4 linked regions of the Caenorhabditis elegans genome follow. The protein of the gene in region 1 purifies or fractionates together with the protein of each later gene. This does not show direct contact. Each region holds a gene or a part of one and is shown on either strand. Other genes may lie near its edges.

Region 1 (5,066 bases):
AGAATACCGATATTCCAGCCATCAATTAGGATAGAAGCACATAAGCCACAGAAATTCATTTTTAGAGACTACGGAAGCTACAGTAATCTTTATGGGAGTTATATGGCATTTTCAGAGCAATTTTCGGCGTTTTTTTGTTAAACGAAAACTTAAAAATTTTGGAAAAAAACGGTGAAAATTGCAATTTTTTATCATTTTCTCAGAAAAATTCAAAATTTGGGCATAGCTTCCGCATCTCCGGTGACAAATGTGCTCTATTGCACAAAGTGTTGGTTGGAATACGGTATTTATTGCATGTTTCAGCCGAGAATACCGATATTCCAGCCATCAATTAGGATAGCCACACAAGCCACAGAAATTCATTTTTAATGGCTTCCGAAGCTACAGTAACCCTTGCTTAATGGAAACTCTGGCAAACTCAGAATTTGCTGAAAATTTTGCTCAAAACTTTGGAAAAATAAATTTTTCTAAACATATCTACTTGAACTTCTAAGCGTGAAATTAATTTTCCCATATTAACGCTTCTAGTTTTTTGTCACTTTTTTTTTCTGAAACCCCATGCTTTCCACTACCTTAGAGCTCTCCTCAGTCCTTGGATCCAGTGTTACCAGGAGACGTGCGGTCTGTTGTATACTTCCAATGAAAAATCCATAATTCAACACATTCTTGCCAGTTGAAGCAAGTGTTGGCACTCCGGGCGTTGTTGAGCTTTCCGAGACAACTAGGCGTCTGAAATTAGGAAATTTAGGAAATTTAGCAACATTTATTTAATTCATACGTTACATTAAAATTGTAAATTTCAAAAGAGTTTAGAAATGAACTAAATTTTCTTATTTTTCTCCAATTTTCACTGAATTTCTACTATTTTTCGCTGGAAATTATTTTATTACCTCAACAAATCAGCTGCAATCTGTCGTGTCATCATACAATCGTCATCTCCAATAGTAAGAACATTAAAAGTACACATAAATGTATCATGGACATTCTCAGTACAGTACACCATATCTCGAACTTTCTCGTCCAAATATCCAATTAGTACCAGGCTTGAGACGACTGCAAATACTTTTTTTTTCGATTTGTTAAAAATTGTTATTTTTTGAATTTCAATTTTTTCCGAGTTTTTAAAAAATAAAACAATTTTTTGTTTTTTGAAATTTTTTTTTTTCGAATTCTTCAAAAATAAAACAGTTTTTCGATGTTTTTTCTTTTGCGAATTTCATGAAAATAAAACAAGTTTTCGGTTTTTTTTTTAGAATAATTTTTTTTCGAATTTTTTGAAAATTCAATTTTTCGATTTTTTTTCTAAAAATACAATATTTTGCGAATTTTTTAAAAATAAAATTATTTTTTCGACTTTTTCGAAAACTAATTGTTTTTCAGTTTTTTGGAACTACTGAAAAATGAAAAAAAATTAATTTTTAAAAATATTCCGTAAATCAAAAAATTCTTAAATATCAATAATCCAAAAATCAATTTCGGTGGTCCTAATTTCAAAAAAAAAATTTTATTGGAATTCCAACTATGTCATTAATTCAAATTTTCATGTTTTCACTAAAAATTCTGAAAACTCGATTATTCCAAAAATTACCGATTATCCTCGCGTTGTGCTGTAGTAATTTCATCAATTGCCTGCTAAACTTCTTGTATGACGTAGATATTTTTATTCGTTTACACGCAGATTTCGATGCAGAAGCCAAATTGCACAGTATTGCAATACAGTATGGCATCCATTCTGGTTCGGGTTCTCGTATTCTGAAAAATGTTTGAAAAATTAGAAAAATTGATCTAATTTGCGAGCAAAAAAAATTTTAGCCCGAATTTTAAAATTATCGTAAAATTTTTGTTCCTATAATTTAAAGAAAAAATCTTTTAAAAATCCCACAAAATTCTATAATTGAATTTCTGTGAATTTGCGTACTTTTGAAGCCACAGTAACCGGAATTTCGGTTTTTGTTGATTTCCTTGCTGGAAATTAGCTTCTGAACTACAGTAACCAGAAAATTGCAAATTTGTCGAAAAAAAATGTTAGAAACTTGCTTTTTGTAGATTTTTTAAATAAAAATTTCTACCAGTCGCAGAATATGCAAAATATATCAATTTTTGCAATTTTCGCCCTCAAACTCACACTTCTTGCATTAAAAACGATATAAGCTCGTTTGCCCAATGTTCCAATGGCACATTCTTTTCATAACTTAAAACTTGTAATAATCTGAGAATATCAATCATATTTTGTGGTCCTAATTGTTCTCGAAGTGATGCTTTTAGACATGAAAATACTGCTCCAAGAAGTCGAAGCTCTCCGGCCATAAATCGACGAATCGGTATATTATGATGGGCAATTGAGAAGAGAAGTCGGTAGAATTTCGAGCGTGTTACAATGTTTGTTGTGGAGGCATCTGGAAATTGCGCGTCAAATATGGTGTATTGGGTACGCAATGGGAAAATTAGTGATTTTTACAGAAATTTGAAAAAAAAATTGAATTTTCGGCTTTGAAAACTGAAAAATTAGAACATTTTCGTGAATTATTGAGGTCCGGTGATCACCGCGGTGAGTCAAAAACAAAATTTATTTTTCGAAAAACGATTTTTTTAAAAATAGAATTTCCATAATTTTTGGGTCAGGTCCAAAAACTCACTTAAAATCACTGGGGTATACGTCAAAAACTCTTTCAATTGCTGATTTTTCAGCGATAACCGTGTGGCTCGATCCATGTCTGCCACGTAGCGGATCATTCCGTTAAGCGCTTCATCGAGGCGAGTTGTGTTGTCAGCACTGCTATCCGATACATATCTGGCAGCGGAAGTAGTCGCCAACGAGAAAATTGCGTCAGTCTGGAAATTCTAGCGTTAGAGCAGGGTTGCATAGCACTGAAAATTCAAAAAATTGGATTTTTCCACAGAGCGCGCTTCCTCGTAAACGGAAATTTGAATTTTTCAAAGTTTTATTGCTCGCGCGCTTGCTTACAAATCCATTTTATTAGAGCACGTTGGCATTGTTTTCGCATATTTTCTCAGTGGGGCGCACTTGCTCACTGCCCCCTTATATACCTCATTGATATTCGGCGGTGGTGGATCTCTTGCAAATCTCTGTGACGCTCGAAAACTGCTCCTTTCCATAGTTTTCCATCAAAAAAAATCGCTTCCTAGGTTATTAATTGAGTAGAATAGGTGAGTAGGTATGAGGAAATTGCTGAAAAAGTACCTTATACACCAGATTTTTCGCGCTAATGTAAGGTCTATTAAAAGTACAAGGGAACAGTAGTAACTGCGCTAATTAAGCGTTCTAGACATAAGTGGATCAACAAGAACGGATTCGGAGGGTTTGAGCAAATACCAAAAGGACATTGATATCTTTGCTAGGGATTTACGCTTATAAATAGCAAAAATCTTGAGATTTTCCTAAAAATTTGGGCATAGCTTCCGCATTTTCGGTGACAAATGTGCTCTATTGCACCGAATTGTTGGTTGGAATACGGTATTTATTGCATGTTTCAGCCGAGAATACCGGTATTCATACCATCAATTTGGATAGAAGCACACAAGCCACAAAAAATGATTTTTAGTGGCCCCGGTAGCTACAGTAATCCTTGTCTAAATTGGAAACTAGGGAAAATCAGGATTTGGAACCTTTTTGCTGGGAAAACTGCTCAAAACTATGAAAAACTAAGCTTCATTCTATTGGATTTTCAGTCATGAATACCAAAGTTCATATCATCGAACTGAATAAAATCACACAAGTAAAAATATTTAAATTCCACTGTAGCGTTCAAACTAGAGCTAAATCTTAGAATTTCTGTATGTCTAGGATTTATCTAAAATTCCAAAACCGAATTTGAATATCTACGAGATGACTAGCAAATCGGAGATTTGCTAGGCTTCGCAGTTTGGTTCGGCGTAGAGTAACTCAAGAATTTAGTTTAATGATAATTTTATAAATAACAGTTTCCACTTTTCAAATCGCACTTAACGGTTCCCCACTGTTTCTACATGTATTCGGGCAAAAATAGGCTTGACGGATCTCCAACACTTCTTCGTGTATTCGGACATGCGGCCCTCAACTCGGGTTTATTGGGCTCAGAATAGGCTTAATGGCTGTTCAATACTTTTGTGTATTCGGGCCTGCGGCCCTCAATCCGGATTACCTGACCTTTCCAAAAACAGACGTAGTTATGGAAACATACGTCTCATAGAAGGCCTCCAGCCTGCTCTGCTGGGAGTAGGGATAGAAAAGGTCTAAAGTTTCTAAGAGTAAGAGGGAGGTCTTCATCCCTGATTTTTGGGTTTGAGTGAAAAACAATAGCATTGCAGGCCTCCAGCCTGCCCTGCTGGAAGTGAGGTTTAAAGTGACCAAAATGTCCGAGAAGTGCGGTCCTCAATAGGATTAGAGAAAAAGTAAAAATCTCGAAAAATCTTTAAAATTGAACTTCCTCACGTTATTAAAATAAGAAATTAAAATTATCGAATTCATCCCCAAAAATAAAGAAAGAGAGAGTGGTAGAAAAGTTTTTCACGTTTAATCCATTCTTTTAATTTTGCAAAATTTGAATGATGGCCTACATTTTGGAAAGTTGGTCAATTTTTTTCCAAATAGTTTCAAAAAATTGGTAATTCGAAGTTCTATCTTGTGCACAAATTGGAACCAAATGCCAGAAAAACTGAAGATTTGGGACTGAAAAACATAAAACTCTTCAGTACAAAGAAAATATTCAATTTTCGCGGTCTCCAGAAACCTGCGCAAATCAGTGTTCTACCCTTCCCAAAACCAATCCTCTCAATAATGACCATGGTGGGGCAACTATTTTTGAGTCATTCGCACTTAGTGAATGCAAAAGCGCCAGCTATGAGCCAAGTTATTAAAGCTCAAAGTTTGTACATTTTTATCGGACACCCCATTACGACAACGTGCCCTTATTTTTTATTTCTGTCAAGAATGCAATTTCAGGATTTAATATAGGAAGAGGCAGAGAAGTTGAGTTAAATGGGAAGGAATAAAGGGGATTACTCAAGGACGCCTCCATCATCTTCTTCAGTTCAAAAGGGGAACAATTATCGCGCTACGTATACAT
Region 2 (5,458 bases), on another chromosome or scaffold:
CATGTGTTCACTTCGGAAACGTACTTTGAACTGATCCGTCTTTCATGTTTTTAAAAGTCACGTTAATATGAACATTTGATCTGTTGAACTAATTTTCTGCAAACATACGGATAAACCTATATTTCTTGTTTTATTTAGAGAACTACACTGAACTAAGACATCAAAAAACAATCTTGATAAGTTTAAACGAGATCCTTCGTTTTCTGCTTTAAAATATTCAAAAAAAAGTTACCTGACTATGAGTTTTATTTTTGATTATTCTTCTTTCTACAATTTAACAAAACAATTTCTGAAAATACGTTTAACATTTTTTCAATGTAGTTACGCGGCTCATTTAATAACTTTTTCATCAGCGTCCATTTTTCAAATGAATTTTTTTCTAGAAAAAAAAATTACAGTTGTTGTGCCGTAATAATTTTTTCTTGAGCAAAGAATAGCCCAACAACTGTTTCAGTTGCATATTTCGAGCTAGAAAAGTCCACCGCAGTTTAGTTTTGAAGCCTTCGATTATCGTATTTTAGCGTTTTGTAGCATATTCCACATAAAGCACGAAACTAAACTGGAACATTTGTGAAATCATCAATCAAGTCATTTTTGGGTACACATCATGTCTGCGGAGACATTGAGCGAATTCAAATAGACCAAGTCATCATTCCGATTCATTTGTGAAAATTCGTTTTCTGCTAGAACTGTGATCACTCTATTTTTAAATTCTATTCGCATCAAATTTCAATCACAAATATACTTTGTTGCTTGCTGCATTTAACACATTTTTATGGGGTGAACAGGACACTATCAGAAATCAACAAGTATCTAGTATGGTCGAAGACTTTGTTTCGGTGCAGTTTTCTGAACATATTTCTTTTAGGAGGGAAAATGAATATAAAAGATATTGATATCACATAGGCATCAATAATCAATGCTATGAGAAGACACGTTTAAAGTAGGGGGCCGGCAATTTGTCTGGGTGGAAAACCAACACAGAAGAAAAGGACAGAAGAGATGAAAGGTCGTTTAATATACATTACATATCATTGTGAAAAACAAAAGAACTACAAATACTTTTTCTTATTTATTACAACCTGAATTAGAATGTGAATTGAAGGGCGGTTCGAATGGGCAAGAAAACAAACGTCAAAACACACATATTAACGCGGACAACAATATGCAAAAAACTCGTTATGTTCACAAGTATGACTGCTTGGACAGAATCTATCGGAACATGATTTTCCGAGCATTGCACTCGACCAATCGTCCTGTTTCGTTTGCAAAGCTTCTTTCTTGTTTTTGCATAATGGTTTGAATGCTGCTTGGTAGCGATCTGGAAACTTTGTGTTTTGGTTGTCGCTAATATGATTACTTACTTGTCAAGTTCTCCTCGCAGCAAATACCAAAGAATGCTCCCATAGAACAAATATATCCCTTTGGACAACCATCAGAGGTTAGTTTTGGGCCTGGAGTTGTAGTAGTCTTGAAGCCTGAAAAATATGAAGCAATATTTCAGTTAGTTTTTTTAATGTTCATTATTACTTTAATAAAGTTTTAAACTAACTAATACTCGTTTTTAAAACATTGTATTTCTAACGTTTAAACAGCTCAGATCCGAAAAACAGGATCCTTTAAATGAAATAAAAAATAACATTTTATAAACCGGAATTGTAAGTTTCGTTTTTCACCACAAAAATTTGTAGCTAATTTTCAAATATTATTTATGCAGTAGAAAGTTCGAAAGTTTTATTAAAAAACCATCAATCTCAAAACATACCTGGTGGACCATCTGGGCCTTCTGGGCAAGAATACCATTGTCCATTCGACTTTCTAGCTGGTTGTGATTGCATTGCACAACTGAAGTAGTCTTCTGAAATAAAACTGCATTCAATTATCGTATTTGATTTTTGAGTTAAAAATTGAATTTTTGAGTTAAAAATTGAATACGTCAATGAGGGGCTCAGAGTTTTCAAACTTTTGGGTCAAAAATGTATGAAACATTTTACAATTTTTGGTACCATAGGCCTACTTGTGATCATTTTCCTTGGTGAACGTCACTTATATTCATGAAAACAATACGTGGATAACTTACGCAAGACACAGTCAAAATAGCATTCACTACTTGTTCTATAGGAGTTCTGATTTCCACCACAGCCTTTGTGTTCGAATGGGAAACATTGGAAGGTTTCAACGTCAAACCAGTACTAAAAAAAATATTTGCCCGATTTTTTATTAGGTTTAAAATCAACTTACTCTTATCGAAGTTTTATTTTGATTGCATGTATGTCCAGCATTTCTGTTACTTGCACACCATGGTTTTCCAATCGGTTGATCATTTTTCGGTTTGGCAGGATCTGGTTTTTCAAAAGCGGGGAATGCTGACGAATCGATGGAGAAATCTGAAATTATCGAATTATTTTAAATTATTCATGATTTTGAACTACCAATTTGCATGCAATTCATCTTTGTTGTGTTACTCAATGGTTTTCGTGTCCCTTGTATTTCTCTTCCAGTATTTGTGTCCACGCAGTAGCATTGGTTCTTCTTACTGTCACATTGTACAGGCTCAAAATCACCTTAAATACTTATATTTTATCTTTAGCATTATTTTTTCATACCTTTTCCGACGTCACATTTTGGTACGAAACTATTTTCTGGAGGATCTCCGTCGGCAAACAGCTTTTGGAGGTAAACAAGGCAAGCTGAAACGATAAACGTCACTTTTGGGAAAACTTAGGAAATTGAATGGTCTCTACTTACTTCCACATTTTGGCGCGGTTTTCGGATTGTTGGTTCGTGTGTCGTATGCAACAAGTGCAGTGTGAGGAGTAACACAATAACATGATTCAGAGTTACATTGTACAGTTTCATAGTATCCTAAAATTATGAATAAATTAATATAATTTAAAGTTTAGAATCACCATTTTCATTGCATTTTAGTCCATCATCATTCAACGTGCATGGTCCAGTTTTTGGGTTTCTGTAATAAAATATTACATTTTTATAATAAATTTGAAATAAGCAAAGTAATGTTGAAAAATTAAAATTTCCACCAGTTGCTTCAACACTTTATTAATATAAAATTCTTAAACAAAACTGTTATTTTTTTAATAGTGGACACCGAACTGTTGAAAAATATTTTCACTTACTAGGGTTCTAATTATTTCAAAATTGGTTTTTCATAAATTGTGCCTAACAATTTTTGTTCCAAAGAACTAACCTGGCTCGTAATAATCTGTCTCCAAACAGAGCATTGACTTGGGTGAATCCAACAAGTAATATTATGCAGAAAGCTCGCATGCCGGAAATCAAAAAATTGCGTTCGAAGGAATGATTGAAACGAGGAAATGAATGAAGGTAAATAATAACTAGTTAGTGAAACAAACATTATTTGATTTTCGAGAACAAAAAATAGTAAGAGCTATGAGTTGATCATTGAGTGATCTATTGTATTTGGGAATTACTGGCTTTTGGTTATTTTCATCACTCGCCGATGAAATTTTATGTAAGTTATTTTTATGTACATAAATTCTGTGCATATGAAATAGGTGAATCAAAAAGTGTTCACAAATATTTGGAAACATTAACAAAAATATTTCAAATAAAGGAAAAATTCGAGAAAAAAATAATTTTCTTAGGATATGAAAGCCAAGTTATATTCTTTCTTCTCTCCGAAGATTCAAAAAATCAAGAAAGATTAAAAATTGAAACAGTATCTTTTTTCAAAAGAAAAAACTAAGCAGTATCAGTGCTAGTTGAGAACAAGAAAAGGAATCAATTGCTGAACGAATCTTTGTTCGACGAAAAACGAAAAAAAAGGTTTACTTCCTTTTTATCATATTATGTCAACTACTAGAATGCAATGATCAATCGATAAAACTGGTACATTCTCTTATTCTCTTTGGATTCGTTTTTACACCAATAAATTTGGTTTGACTAACAGAATTACCTTTAGTTGAAAAAACATTTATTCGGGAAAAGAAGTGAATCATCAGAAAATAACCCGTTTTTGTCGGAATATTTTTTTAAATAAATAAAGTTCAAACTAATAACTAGACATAAAATAAGAAAATAAAATGAAGAATAGTAGAGACACAGGCCAGAAAGTGATTGGAGAAGAGTTACACAGATCAGTATTACAGCAACAGACTTTACTTTGTTTCGAAGTGACCACGCATTCGTCTTTCTGAAAAAAAGAAAACATTGAGAAAAGATTAAAAGAATAGAAAAGTCTAGAAGTTTCTATGGAAATCACTGGAAGAAAACGTTACTCACGAGTTTTTAGAATAAGAAAACAACAAAACGTTCTAGAATGAATTTCTATCACTAAGAATCATAAATTATACTTTTGAGAAACAATACGGGAATCGAGCTTCAAGTATAACATATAGGAATGTATTTTTCTAATATTTTTTTCAAAGACCGGAACCATTGTTAAGTGTCAGACGATAGAAAAATACGCTGTTTTTAAATTTAAGTTTAAATAATCCTTATTGTGATTTTTATTCACTGTTGGTCATTTTTTGGCAAATTGACAATACATACATTTAGATAAAACCGGCATTGACCCCACTCATTTTCTACAAGCGAAAGTGTATTCCGTTATTTTTCCATAGTTACAGTATGTAGCATTGGGCTTTGTCCGCTACATATGGGTTTTGTCCGCTTCTAGTATTTGTTTTCTGTTAAAGTTGACATTGCTCTTTCAATGAGTATGGTTTTTATAATTAATTTCCAGAAAATCTACACCAGGGCTGCGCCACATTCAATCTTTTCGACAATTTTTTTTCTGATTTTCACTTTGCACATTTGTTCTTTCAATTTCAAACTCGTTTTGTTCGCTCACTTTGCAAAACGGCGTAAAGTCATCACATCCGTAAGTAGCTCCGCCAGTTGGCTCTGTCGTTCTGCAAAATGAAAATTCCAATAAACTTGCTGCCTTTTCTTTTTCTTCTTTCAACCCACTTTATGCAATATTCTGTCTGACAAAGACGTTGTTTGAACGGCCTTCCATCTCCCGAGAACCCTAAAGAATCACTCGTCACGCACACGAAATGCTCTTCTGCTCATTCAACGTACCTTTAAAACACTTCACAGTAGTATCTGCAGAAGGCGGCAAAATGAAAAAGAAAATGAAAAGACAGATAATGACAGGGTGCACGCTCATAATTGTTTCCGTTCACTTGGTTTAATACGGAGTTCAACTGAAATTTAACTTTTTAGGAGTGTCATTTCCACAGAGTTTGAGATGAAGAGTTGAATTTAAAAGGAATAAGTAAATATAGTTTTAGATCAAACAAAATAAGAACAAACACTAATTCCATTAGTGTGAAGGAATTGGTTCAAGTTTTGGTTAGTTGTTGGCAATTTGTTTGAACTGTATGGTTTTTATGATGCGGATATTTTGTAATTTGAAAACCTGCTTTATTCAGGTCTCTTCACTTTATAAATGTTTCTAATTTGAATTTTC
Region 3 (4,463 bases), about 13 Mb from region 1:
CAAGCTTCCACGTGGCAAAAGTCAGTTTTCGAAAATACGAAGAAAATTGTTCGCTTGCTAGACAAAAATAAGAAAAAATGGAGAAAAGGTGTTGAAGAAGAAATAGTGAGAGGGGCCAGAGAACGAGACAAAAGTGCACGAGAAACAGAGAAATGTGTTCATATTGTTTATGTGGGTTTGGATGCGGAGGGAAAGTTGTTAATAAAACATGTTTTTTAATTGATTTGTTATATAAACACAAAATTCTGAGAATGCGTAGTGCACAACATATTTGACGCGCAAAATATCTCGTAGCGAAAACTACAGTAATTCTTTAAATGGCTACTGTAGCGCTTGTGTCGATTTACGAGCGATATTCCATTTTCACTAGTTTCTTTGCAATATTTTCTCATTTTTAAGCTTCTCTATCGATAAGATAGAACAACCCGTAAATCGACACAGGCGCTACAGTAGTCATTTAAAGAGTTACTGTAGTTTTCGCTACGAGATATTTTGCACGTCAAACATGTTGCGCAGTACGTATTCTTAGAATTTTGTGTTTCCGTAATATATTCGTACCTTCAAATACTGCTAATTTTCTGTGCTGGAGAAGTTATTATAACATTGTGTTATTAACCAGAAGCTAAATTTTGCGCCAAAATACGGTACCAGGTCTCGACGCGACAAATTCTGGTTTGATCGAAAAAGCTGTGCGCCTTTAAATAGTACTGTAGTTTGAAATTTCTCTGAAAATCGATAAAAACTATAGTACTCTTTAAAGGCGCGCCCCTTTTTGCATTTAACAAAAATCTGTCGTGTCGAGACCATGTTTGGCGCTAAAATCGCAATATTTCGCCTCTAGATAATAATGAAATACAAAAATATAATTAATTGTTTATTAATTGCAACAATTTATTCTAAGAACCACAGGTAATAAAAACAATTAAATTTCTTCAGGAATCGGTTTCAGCTTAATCTCCTCCTCAGCCGTCTGCCGATTCGCCACTTTCGGAAGATCTCTACAAATAATCGATATTCTTCGCTCCCTGGGCACTTGTTCTCCGTTCCACACACTTTCCTGCTCGCCGAGCACCTCATGTGTGAAATCGTATCGTCCGGGACCGCTGAAATTTTCGAATTTTTTAGATTTTTTAAAAATGTGGTGAGCAAGTTCGCTCTATGGCTAAACTCACCCTAATCGATATAAACTTCTTCTAGGCATCAGAAGATCCATAATCAGTTCATCCTTCTGATCCTTGTGCCGGAGCCGCATAATAGCGTCGGAGAGCAGGGAGACACCCGTGATGACGTCACCACAATACTGAAAATTTCGGATTTTTTTTGAATATTTTTGAGTTATAAGTTTTAAATGCGCTCTAATGATAATAATTGCCGAACTAGGCCATGTTGGCTCGACCATATCTGGGGTAGATTTACGGCGCGTTGCGTGTCGCGTCGCGGCTCGATTTTAGTTGTAAAACTAAATGTATTTGTCCGTGTGGAGTACACGACTTTCCCACGCGTTGTCCGGCGGGGGATTGTCAATAGAGCGCGAAAAATTCGATGAGGAAGCCCAGAACCCTGGTCAACTTGCACGCACTCGAATCGCGTCAATGTGTGGTTTGATGACACCGTCCTTGTGTAGATCCAAAATATGCACGTAGGTCAAATGTTCGGTGTTGGCGCCGAACGATTCACTCCGGATGCGGGAGATCACTTCGAGATTCTCGTCTCGCCATTTTCGTTGCTCACGTTCTCGGTATAGGTGGATGGCCTAGAAAATATGGGAGACTTTTAGGCCACGGGAAGCTTGCTGGTGGCCTAGAAATTCGAAATAGGTATTTCTAGGCCATGAATTCATCTGAAACCTAGAACACGATTTCTAGGCCACTTATTCTATACTGATGACCTATAAATCCAAAATTTCAATTTCTAGGCCATCGACAATTTACTGATGGCCTAGAATATTATTTCTAGGCCACCAATTCTATATTGATGACCTAGAAATCCAAAATTTTAATTTCTAGGTCATCGACAATATATTGATGGCCTAGAATAATATTTCTAAGCCACCAGTAATGTTTTATTGACTGAGAACTCTAAATTTCAAATTTTATGTCAAATTTTGGATTAAAACATATTTTATCCGAGATTTTCAATAAATTTTTTTTCACAAAACTATCATTTTTTGAATTTTGTAAATTTTAAATCTGTTTTCCTCATAAAAATGATCAAAAACTCCTACATCGTCCCAATGGCTCTTCTCGTACCGAAGACGCTTCATGTGTGGCTCAACGTCGACGAGAAGGCTTTTCTCTTCGGCTTCTGTGATGAAATCTCTGAAAATTTCGAAATTTTTAAGGTTGCAAGCGCGCTCCAATGCTAATAATCTTTTTTTAAACTTGCAAATACGCTCTACGGATAATTCCCCAGAGTTTCGCTGCTTCCAATTTAAATTCAAATTTTTTCAAGTTGCAATCGCGCTCCTTTGACGATTTCTCTGATTTCACCGATTTCACGTAAAATTTGAAAATTGTGGAGTATGCAAATCCGCTCTAATACCAATTTCGCTCAAAATTTCAAATTCTTGCCTACTTTTTAACATAACAGCAGGTTTTCATAGTTTCAGCCAAATCCTTCGGCCACAGTTCCAAATTATGAAATTTTATCAAATGTTGCAGAGTTCTCGGTGTAATTTTCATATTTTCTGTTCCACTGAAACATTTTTGTTGTAAATTTCCAATTTCTGAGAATATTCTAAAGCACGGCTTTCTACGGCTTTTAAACCATTTTCCTGTTGAACTATTTTCTTTAAAAATCACAATGATTTTATAGTCGAAAAGAAATAAAAAAACGCATTATGCTGAGGGCTTCGACATACAAAGTGGAAAGGGTTGGGGGAAATACATGGAAATTTCCTTTTTTTTTTCGGAAAAACAAATTTTTGTTAGTATTTACAATTACATTTTGTTACCAGTCAGACAAGTTTTTTGAGGGAAAAAAATCCAATAAAAATGAGCATTTTTCAGAAGGACGTATAATGTACACGAAGTGTGTGTGTGAAAAGGAGACAACAAAAGGGAAAAATTGCGGGTTAAAAATGGCCGGGAAAACCAAAAAAAAACATTTTTTAAAAAAATAAATTCAGACGGAGCACTTATTGCTTTTTCTTCGGCGCCTCAATCGCCTCGGCGAGCTTCTTCATGTCGTTGAGCGAGCGCTTGAGCTCTTCACGGAATTCACGGGAGCTCTGGAAGAAAATTGGATGAAATAGATAAATTTTGTGGTTTTTCGGCAAAAATTGCTCAAATTTTTTCGAATTTTGAAGATAAGTTTAAAAAAAAATTTTTTTCCACAATATGAATATTGTTTACAATAAGAAATCTGGTTTTTTCAAACGAAAAATCTTTTGTTCGTTCCAGAAAATTTGGGTTTTTTTCAAAAAATCTGGTTTTTTTTAATCTGGGGATTTTTTCCAGAAAATCTGAGTCTTTCCCAAAAATTGGTTTTTTTCCAACAAATCTGGGTTTTTTCAACAAAAAATCTCGGGTTTTTCCAAAAAATCTGCTTTTTTTAAACAAAAAATTCGGTTTTTTTCCAAAAAATCTGGGTTTTTTTCTGAAAAAAATCTGGCTTTTCCAAAAAAATCGGGTTTTTTTTAAACAAAAAATTGGTATTTTTTTCCAAAAAATCTGCTTTTTTTAAACAAAAAATTCGGTTTTTTTCCAAAAAATCTGGGTTTTTTTCTGAAAAAATTCTGGCTTTTCCAAAAAAATCGGGTTTTTTTTAAACAAAAAATTGGTATTTTTTTCCAAAAAATCTGGGTTTTTTTAGACAAAAAATAGATTTTTTTTTCCAGAAAATCTGGGTTTTTTTCCAAAAAATCGGGGGTTTTTCAGAGAAAAATACTGTAACTGTAAAACAAAAATTACCGTATTATCGGCAGATCTCTTGCTAGAGATATGGAAAGACAGAGTATCTTCCCCTGCAACAATATAAGAGACACCGTAACCCCGATCAGCCACCGGACCGAATCCACCTCCGGCAGTGATCAATCTCAAGCGAACTTCGTTGGAAAGTCCCTTGGCATCAGCTTCGCACTGATTCATCGGAGTCTGGGAAGTTGAGAGCAAGTATGTCGGTGGGAAGATATTATCGAAAAACGGGGATTCCTCTTCCAAATATCTCTTGATAACGTAGAGAGCGAAGAGATGACGATCGACTCCTTGTCCACACATCGCGTCTCGGTACAGCTCCTGATGCTTGTCGCATGCTTTACGGAGGAGTTGGAGGCGATCTTGAGGCGTCTTCGAGGCGTCGAGCATTGAACGAACGAAATCCGAGGATTGGACAGTGCAGGAACGGACAGTTTCGGTACGTCCTTCACGGAAGAGACGGGTCATTGAGGCTTCGTAGGTCAGCGAGAATTTATTTTGATTCTGCAAAAAAATTGAGTTATTTTACGGTGTTTTTTAAAGGTGGAG
Region 4 (4,605 bases), on another chromosome or scaffold:
CGCTTGTGTTGATTTACACGATCTTGTTGTTTTCACATTTACGTCAGTTTTTTTCGTACGACACCCGTTGCAGTAGCCATTTAAAGATTACTGTAGTTTTCGCTACGAGATATTTTGCGCGTCAAATATAGTGTGCAATGCGTATTCTCAGAGTTTTGTGTTCCCATAATAATGAATCCTAAAATAGCTTAATTCCAAAAGTCAATCCTTAAAGTGCATTCCCAGTTGTACTCGATATGAATCGTATACTAGAAAATATTTTTTTTGTTCAATTCCAATATCTAAAAGTGCAACTAATAAAAAAACAGTTGCTTGTTTTTTGCCGACTTCCGTATCACCCGTCTGACTGGCACGGAGCAAAAGTTCCAAATGACTATAAATCTGGAAACGTATATGTGTGTGTGTGCTTGTGTTTGCACTTTCTTCTTCTCAGACGCAGATAGTTTCTAGAAGGACCACCCGGCACGGCGAGCACTCCCGGGTTTTTTATGGGCGACGAGAGAGTATTGTGGGAGATGAGAAGGTGCTCGCGGAACCATTACATTAAATGAGATTGAGCACACGGCGAGGAGCCAACAAAAAACACACACACACACATACAAACGCCCCGAGAGGACGCTTGAGACATTCTTCCTTGCAAAAGGGCAAAAACACAAATCGTGGTAATGACTATACGAATCAGAAACACAGAAAAAAACGAAGAAGCAATTTTATTTGAAAGCTAAAAAGAGGAGTCCAAATTCTTTAAATTCTACATTCCAAGTCCTCCAGTAACTTCCAACGTGGTTCCAGTGACATATGAAGACATATCCGATGCCAGGAACAACACGGCGTTCGCGATCTCCTCAGTCTCACCGAGTCTCCGTTGTGGAACCATCGAGACCATTGCATCAAGGACCTTCGGAGGCATAGCCTCTGTCATTGGTGTTCTGATGAAGCCGGGGAGCACAGCATTCACGCGGATGTTCTGGAAAATGTTGAATTTTAGATTATTTAGAATTTTATAATATTTTACTGGGCAACTGTCCGATTGGATCTTCGTTGGTGCCGAACCGATTTAAACACCAGAAACCGATCATTGTTTTGTTTCCCAGTTTATTTTTCAAAAAGTTTCCCATGAGGAATAGTGAATTGAACATCAAAATGTTATGTCCAGTATGATAATTCAATTAAAATTCTTCTATTTAAAACGTTAATGTCCTTCATAAAGTTCATACTGTATCATCCGCAATGAACTTCGTCAACCCCCTGTTGGTAAGGATTAAGACATCTTTTATATTACTCGCAATGATATTTTCAGCTCAATACCTTCATCATGGGAATGCTTGCAACTACCTCGGCAAGCCTCGGTGACGAGTCGTGTTTTTTTTTCAAATTCATGTTTGTAGAACCGTCCGATTTTTTGGACCCTATAGCCAAAAGCTTAAGAACCATCTACAAAAGGGACCTCAACAAGTACACGCGCTGCGAAAATCGACAATGACAGTCTTATTACGGGAAAACAATACTCTGAGAATGCGTATTGCGCAACATATTTGACGCGCAAAATATCTCGTAGCGAAAACTACAGAAATTCTTCAAATGACTACTGTAGCGCTTGTGTCGATTTACGAGCTCGATATTTGAAATGAATAATTAAAATAATTTAGGATCATGGAACATCGCTGAGCCCGTAAATCGACATCAGCGCTACAGTAGTCATTAGAAGAGTTGCTGTAGTTTCCGCTACGAGATATTTTGCTCGTCAAACATGTCGTCTTGTGCCCCAGATTTTTTTTTGCAAATTGAGAAAAACAATTAAAAAATGGGTGGTTAGAACAATCTGAAAATCAATTTTTAATTGATTTTACCTTTGTGGCAAGCTCCCTGGCTGCCGATTTCGTAAAACCAATCACTCCAGATTTAGTGGCAGCGTAGTTAGTTTGGCCGAAATTTCCGATTTTTCCGACGATCGACGACACGTTTACAATGGAGAGCGGAGATCCGGCGGCCACAGATTCACGAGCAATCATCTGAGACATCAGAAAAACACTATTCAAATTGACATTCATCACATCCTGCCACTGATTCTGGCTCATTTTCAACAGGGTAGCGTCCTAAAATGTAAAAAGGTCAATTTTGCAGTGTTCTAAGATATAAAAGAGACACGGTAATTTATTTGAAACGTCAGTTTAAAGGTGCACGCCATTTCTTTGGGTCTCGCCACGATCTCAGCCATATTTGATTTTGTATATTTATAAAAACTAACTTTTAATTATTTTCCTGGCGAGACCCATCTGGAAAAACTCGTGCGCCTTTAGGCAAGAGTCCCAGAAAACTACGAAATTCCGATATTCTATTAACCTTGGTGATGCCTGCACAATTCACGAGCACAGATGGCGATTCTCCGGAAGATTTTATGAATTCTTGTAGACGAGCCACGTGTTCTGGCTGAAAACAATTTTTAAACAATTCAATTCTTGAATTTTCTCTTTCTCACATCGCTGACATCAATCTCAAAGGCCGAATGCCCATTTCCAGGAAGATTGCCTGCTGTGGCTTCTGCTGCCGATTTTTTGAGGTCTGCAACGATGAGACGGGCTCCAGAAGCTGCGAATTTCTTGCAAATTGCTTGTCCGATTCCTGATCCACCGCCTGGGATTTTTTGTAGAGTTTGCTAGTTTTTTAAATTAAAATTAGTTAAAATTACCAGTGACAATTGCCAATTTCGATGAAAGCATTGTAGATTTACCTAAAAAATGCTGAGAAGAATTTATTTTTGAAAATTTTTATTAAAAATTAAAAAATCCAAAAAATTTAGAACGAGAGACTGTGTGAGACGAAGAGACGTAGACATTCCCGGGTGGTACGGTATGCAATGTGTGCAAACACCGTCGTGTACGCAGAGAGCGCCACTTTTGAATTCGAAAGCGTTCTCCTCGATTTCGCGCATTTTCATCATTATTCTCTGGTTTTTGTCGATTTTTATTATAAAAATATCGTTCCTTCAGCTTCTCACAATGAATACTCGCAAATCTGAAACGTCAAAGACTGTATCCGCCACTCCAGTCAAGCGGAGATCGACAAGAATCACTAATCTCCCGAAATCAGCTCCTAAAATCGTAAAGCGAAGCTCCGTTCGCCTCAGAGGAGCTCCACAATGCACATATAAATCGGATTCTTCTTCGTCCTCATCATCTTCAGATTCTGATGGAGAAGATGAGTACGCCGCGACAAAAGACGAGCTGAAAGCCGTAGATCACGATAATCAAATGGAAATCGATTTTTCCGATGAAATCGGCGAGAATTTCTCAGAAGAAGATAGCTGCAGTGATAAAGAAAATAGAAGAGTTACAAGAAGCAGGACTCCGACAAGGCTTGAAGAGACTCCATCGAAGAGGCTTGCTCGGGAATTAAGTAAAGCTTCAGTGTCGAAAGTTTCCACTTCAAAAACTCTATTCAAAGAGAGTAAATCACCTCGAAAAGTTGAGATTTCAAGGAAAACAAATAAAGCTCGAGTATTTCAAGAAGAAGATGATGACGATGAAGATGATTTCAGCGATGAAATTGACGAGAAATTCTATTCGAAAACTAACAAAAGAACACCAATCACAATAAAGATCCCTTCAAAAATGATAACCCAGAAAGTAACTCCACTAGTGATCAGCAAAACGCCAGGTGGAACACTGAGAACCCGTAGAAGGGCACGCCAGAACAGTGAAGAACTCGAAGATCTTGTGGATCCACTGGATTCCCGATCGGCTTCAACTCTGAAAGAGCTGGCGAGCAGGCTTCATCTCTCAAAGGTGCCCGAGAAGCTCCCATGCCGAGATATTGAGTCTCGAGAAATTGAGAAATTCATTCGAGAAGTTATTGATCCAAAACGTGGCGAGAGCTCTGCAATGTATATTAGTGGAGTTCCAGGCACAGGGAAGACAGCCACTGTTCGAGCGGTAAAACTTAATTTTTAAATTATTTTTCCAAATTTCTGGTTTTCAAATTCTATTTTTCAGGTCGTCAACTCGATGAAAAAGAGCAAAAAGTGTCAGAAATTCGTGTACGTCGAGGTCAATGCGATGATCTTCAAAAAAACTGTATTCGTAGAGATTTACAACGGGTAAGGACGTCTCGGAAAAGTTGAAAATCGAACAATTTCCATCTAACAACTGCAGAACTCATTGGAAAATGCTCAAAATTTTGCGCGGAATCCTCCGAAATTCGAATTTTTCGAAAATTGTTGGCTAATTTCTGAGTTTTTTCATAAGTTAACGGGGAATTTTTTGTTTTAAAGCTTGGAAATGGATCAATTTGAGCATTTTTAGACAGTTTTCAGCTTAATCGCAAGTTTTTAAAGAAAATATTATGCTGAAAACTGTCAAAAAACTGCTTAAAAAGACGTATTTTCCTTGCTTTAAAAAAATTTCGACTTAAAATTATAAAAAAACGCAAAAAAGTAACTTTAAAATGTCGATAAAAAAACGAATTTCAGTGGGTTCTGCTAGTTTTTACTTTATGAAAATGATCTAAAGTAGTGAATTTCGTGAAACCTTGAACATTTTCCCGATAGGATGTTAGAAAAACCTCAAAAATCTGAAAATTTTGGGGTTTTTCTCTTCAAAACCCTAA

Evidence for each region.
Region 2: the proteins of cip-2A (region 1) and B0222.5 fractionate together in Caenorhabditis elegans (co-fractionation; one large-scale study listed by BioGRID). This does not show direct contact.
Region 3: the proteins of cip-2A (region 1) and alkb-7 fractionate together in Caenorhabditis elegans (co-fractionation; one large-scale study listed by BioGRID). This does not show direct contact.
Region 4: the proteins of cip-2A (region 1) and dhs-11 fractionate together in Caenorhabditis elegans (co-fractionation; one large-scale study listed by BioGRID). This does not show direct contact.

What each region holds. Positions count from the first base shown.
Region 1 is NC_003280.10:270,777-275,842, forward strand, and holds the start of cip-2A (CIP2A N-terminal domain-containing protein), read right to left. Parts: upstream 3,197-5,066; 5' UTR 3,118-3,196; coding exon 3,049-3,117; intron 2,833-3,048; coding exon 2,637-2,832; intron 2,397-2,636; coding exon 2,126-2,396; intron 1,753-2,125; coding exon 1,589-1,752; intron 1,054-1,588; coding exon 891-1,053; intron 730-890; coding exon 573-729; intron 1-572.
Region 2 is NC_003283.11:9,151,582-9,157,039, forward strand, and holds B0222.5 (BPTI/Kunitz inhibitor domain-containing protein), read right to left. Parts: upstream 3,292-5,458; 5' UTR 3,289-3,291; coding exon 3,209-3,288; intron 2,969-3,208; coding exon 2,910-2,968; intron 2,866-2,909; coding exon 2,749-2,865; intron 2,691-2,748; coding exon 2,607-2,690; intron 2,565-2,606; coding exon 2,433-2,564; intron 2,388-2,432; coding exon 2,242-2,387; intron 2,193-2,241; coding exon 2,081-2,192; intron 1,859-2,080; coding exon 1,766-1,858; intron 1,479-1,765; coding exon 1,365-1,478; intron 1,322-1,364; coding exon 1,149-1,321; 3' UTR 740-1,148; downstream 1-739. Other genes in the region: B0222.15 (Activin_recp domain-containing protein), read right to left, coding at 4,034-4,174, 4,835-4,895, 4,954-5,014, 5,068-5,155.
Region 3 is NC_003280.10:12,785,460-12,789,922, forward strand, and holds alkb-7 (Alpha-ketoglutarate-dependent dioxygenase AlkB-like domain-containing protein), read right to left. Parts: upstream 2,695-4,463; 5' UTR 2,682-2,694; coding exon 2,575-2,681; intron 2,319-2,574; coding exon 2,225-2,318; intron 1,754-2,224; coding exon 1,580-1,753; intron 1,301-1,579; coding exon 1,173-1,300; intron 1,104-1,172; coding exon 923-1,103; 3' UTR 863-922; downstream 1-862. Other genes in the region: cpt-1 (carnitine O-palmitoyltransferase), read right to left, coding at 3,137-3,229, 3,912-4,418.
Region 4 is NC_003281.10:10,640,135-10,644,739, forward strand, and holds dhs-11 ((3R)-3-hydroxyacyl-CoA dehydrogenase), read right to left. Parts: upstream 2,732-4,605; 5' UTR 2,721-2,731; coding exon 2,690-2,720; intron 2,635-2,689; coding exon 2,480-2,634; intron 2,431-2,479; coding exon 2,344-2,430; intron 2,097-2,343; coding exon 1,851-2,096; intron 968-1,850; coding exon 752-967; 3' UTR 702-751; downstream 1-701. Other genes in the region: orc-1 (Origin recognition complex subunit 1), read left to right, coding at 3,000-3,932, 3,993-4,096.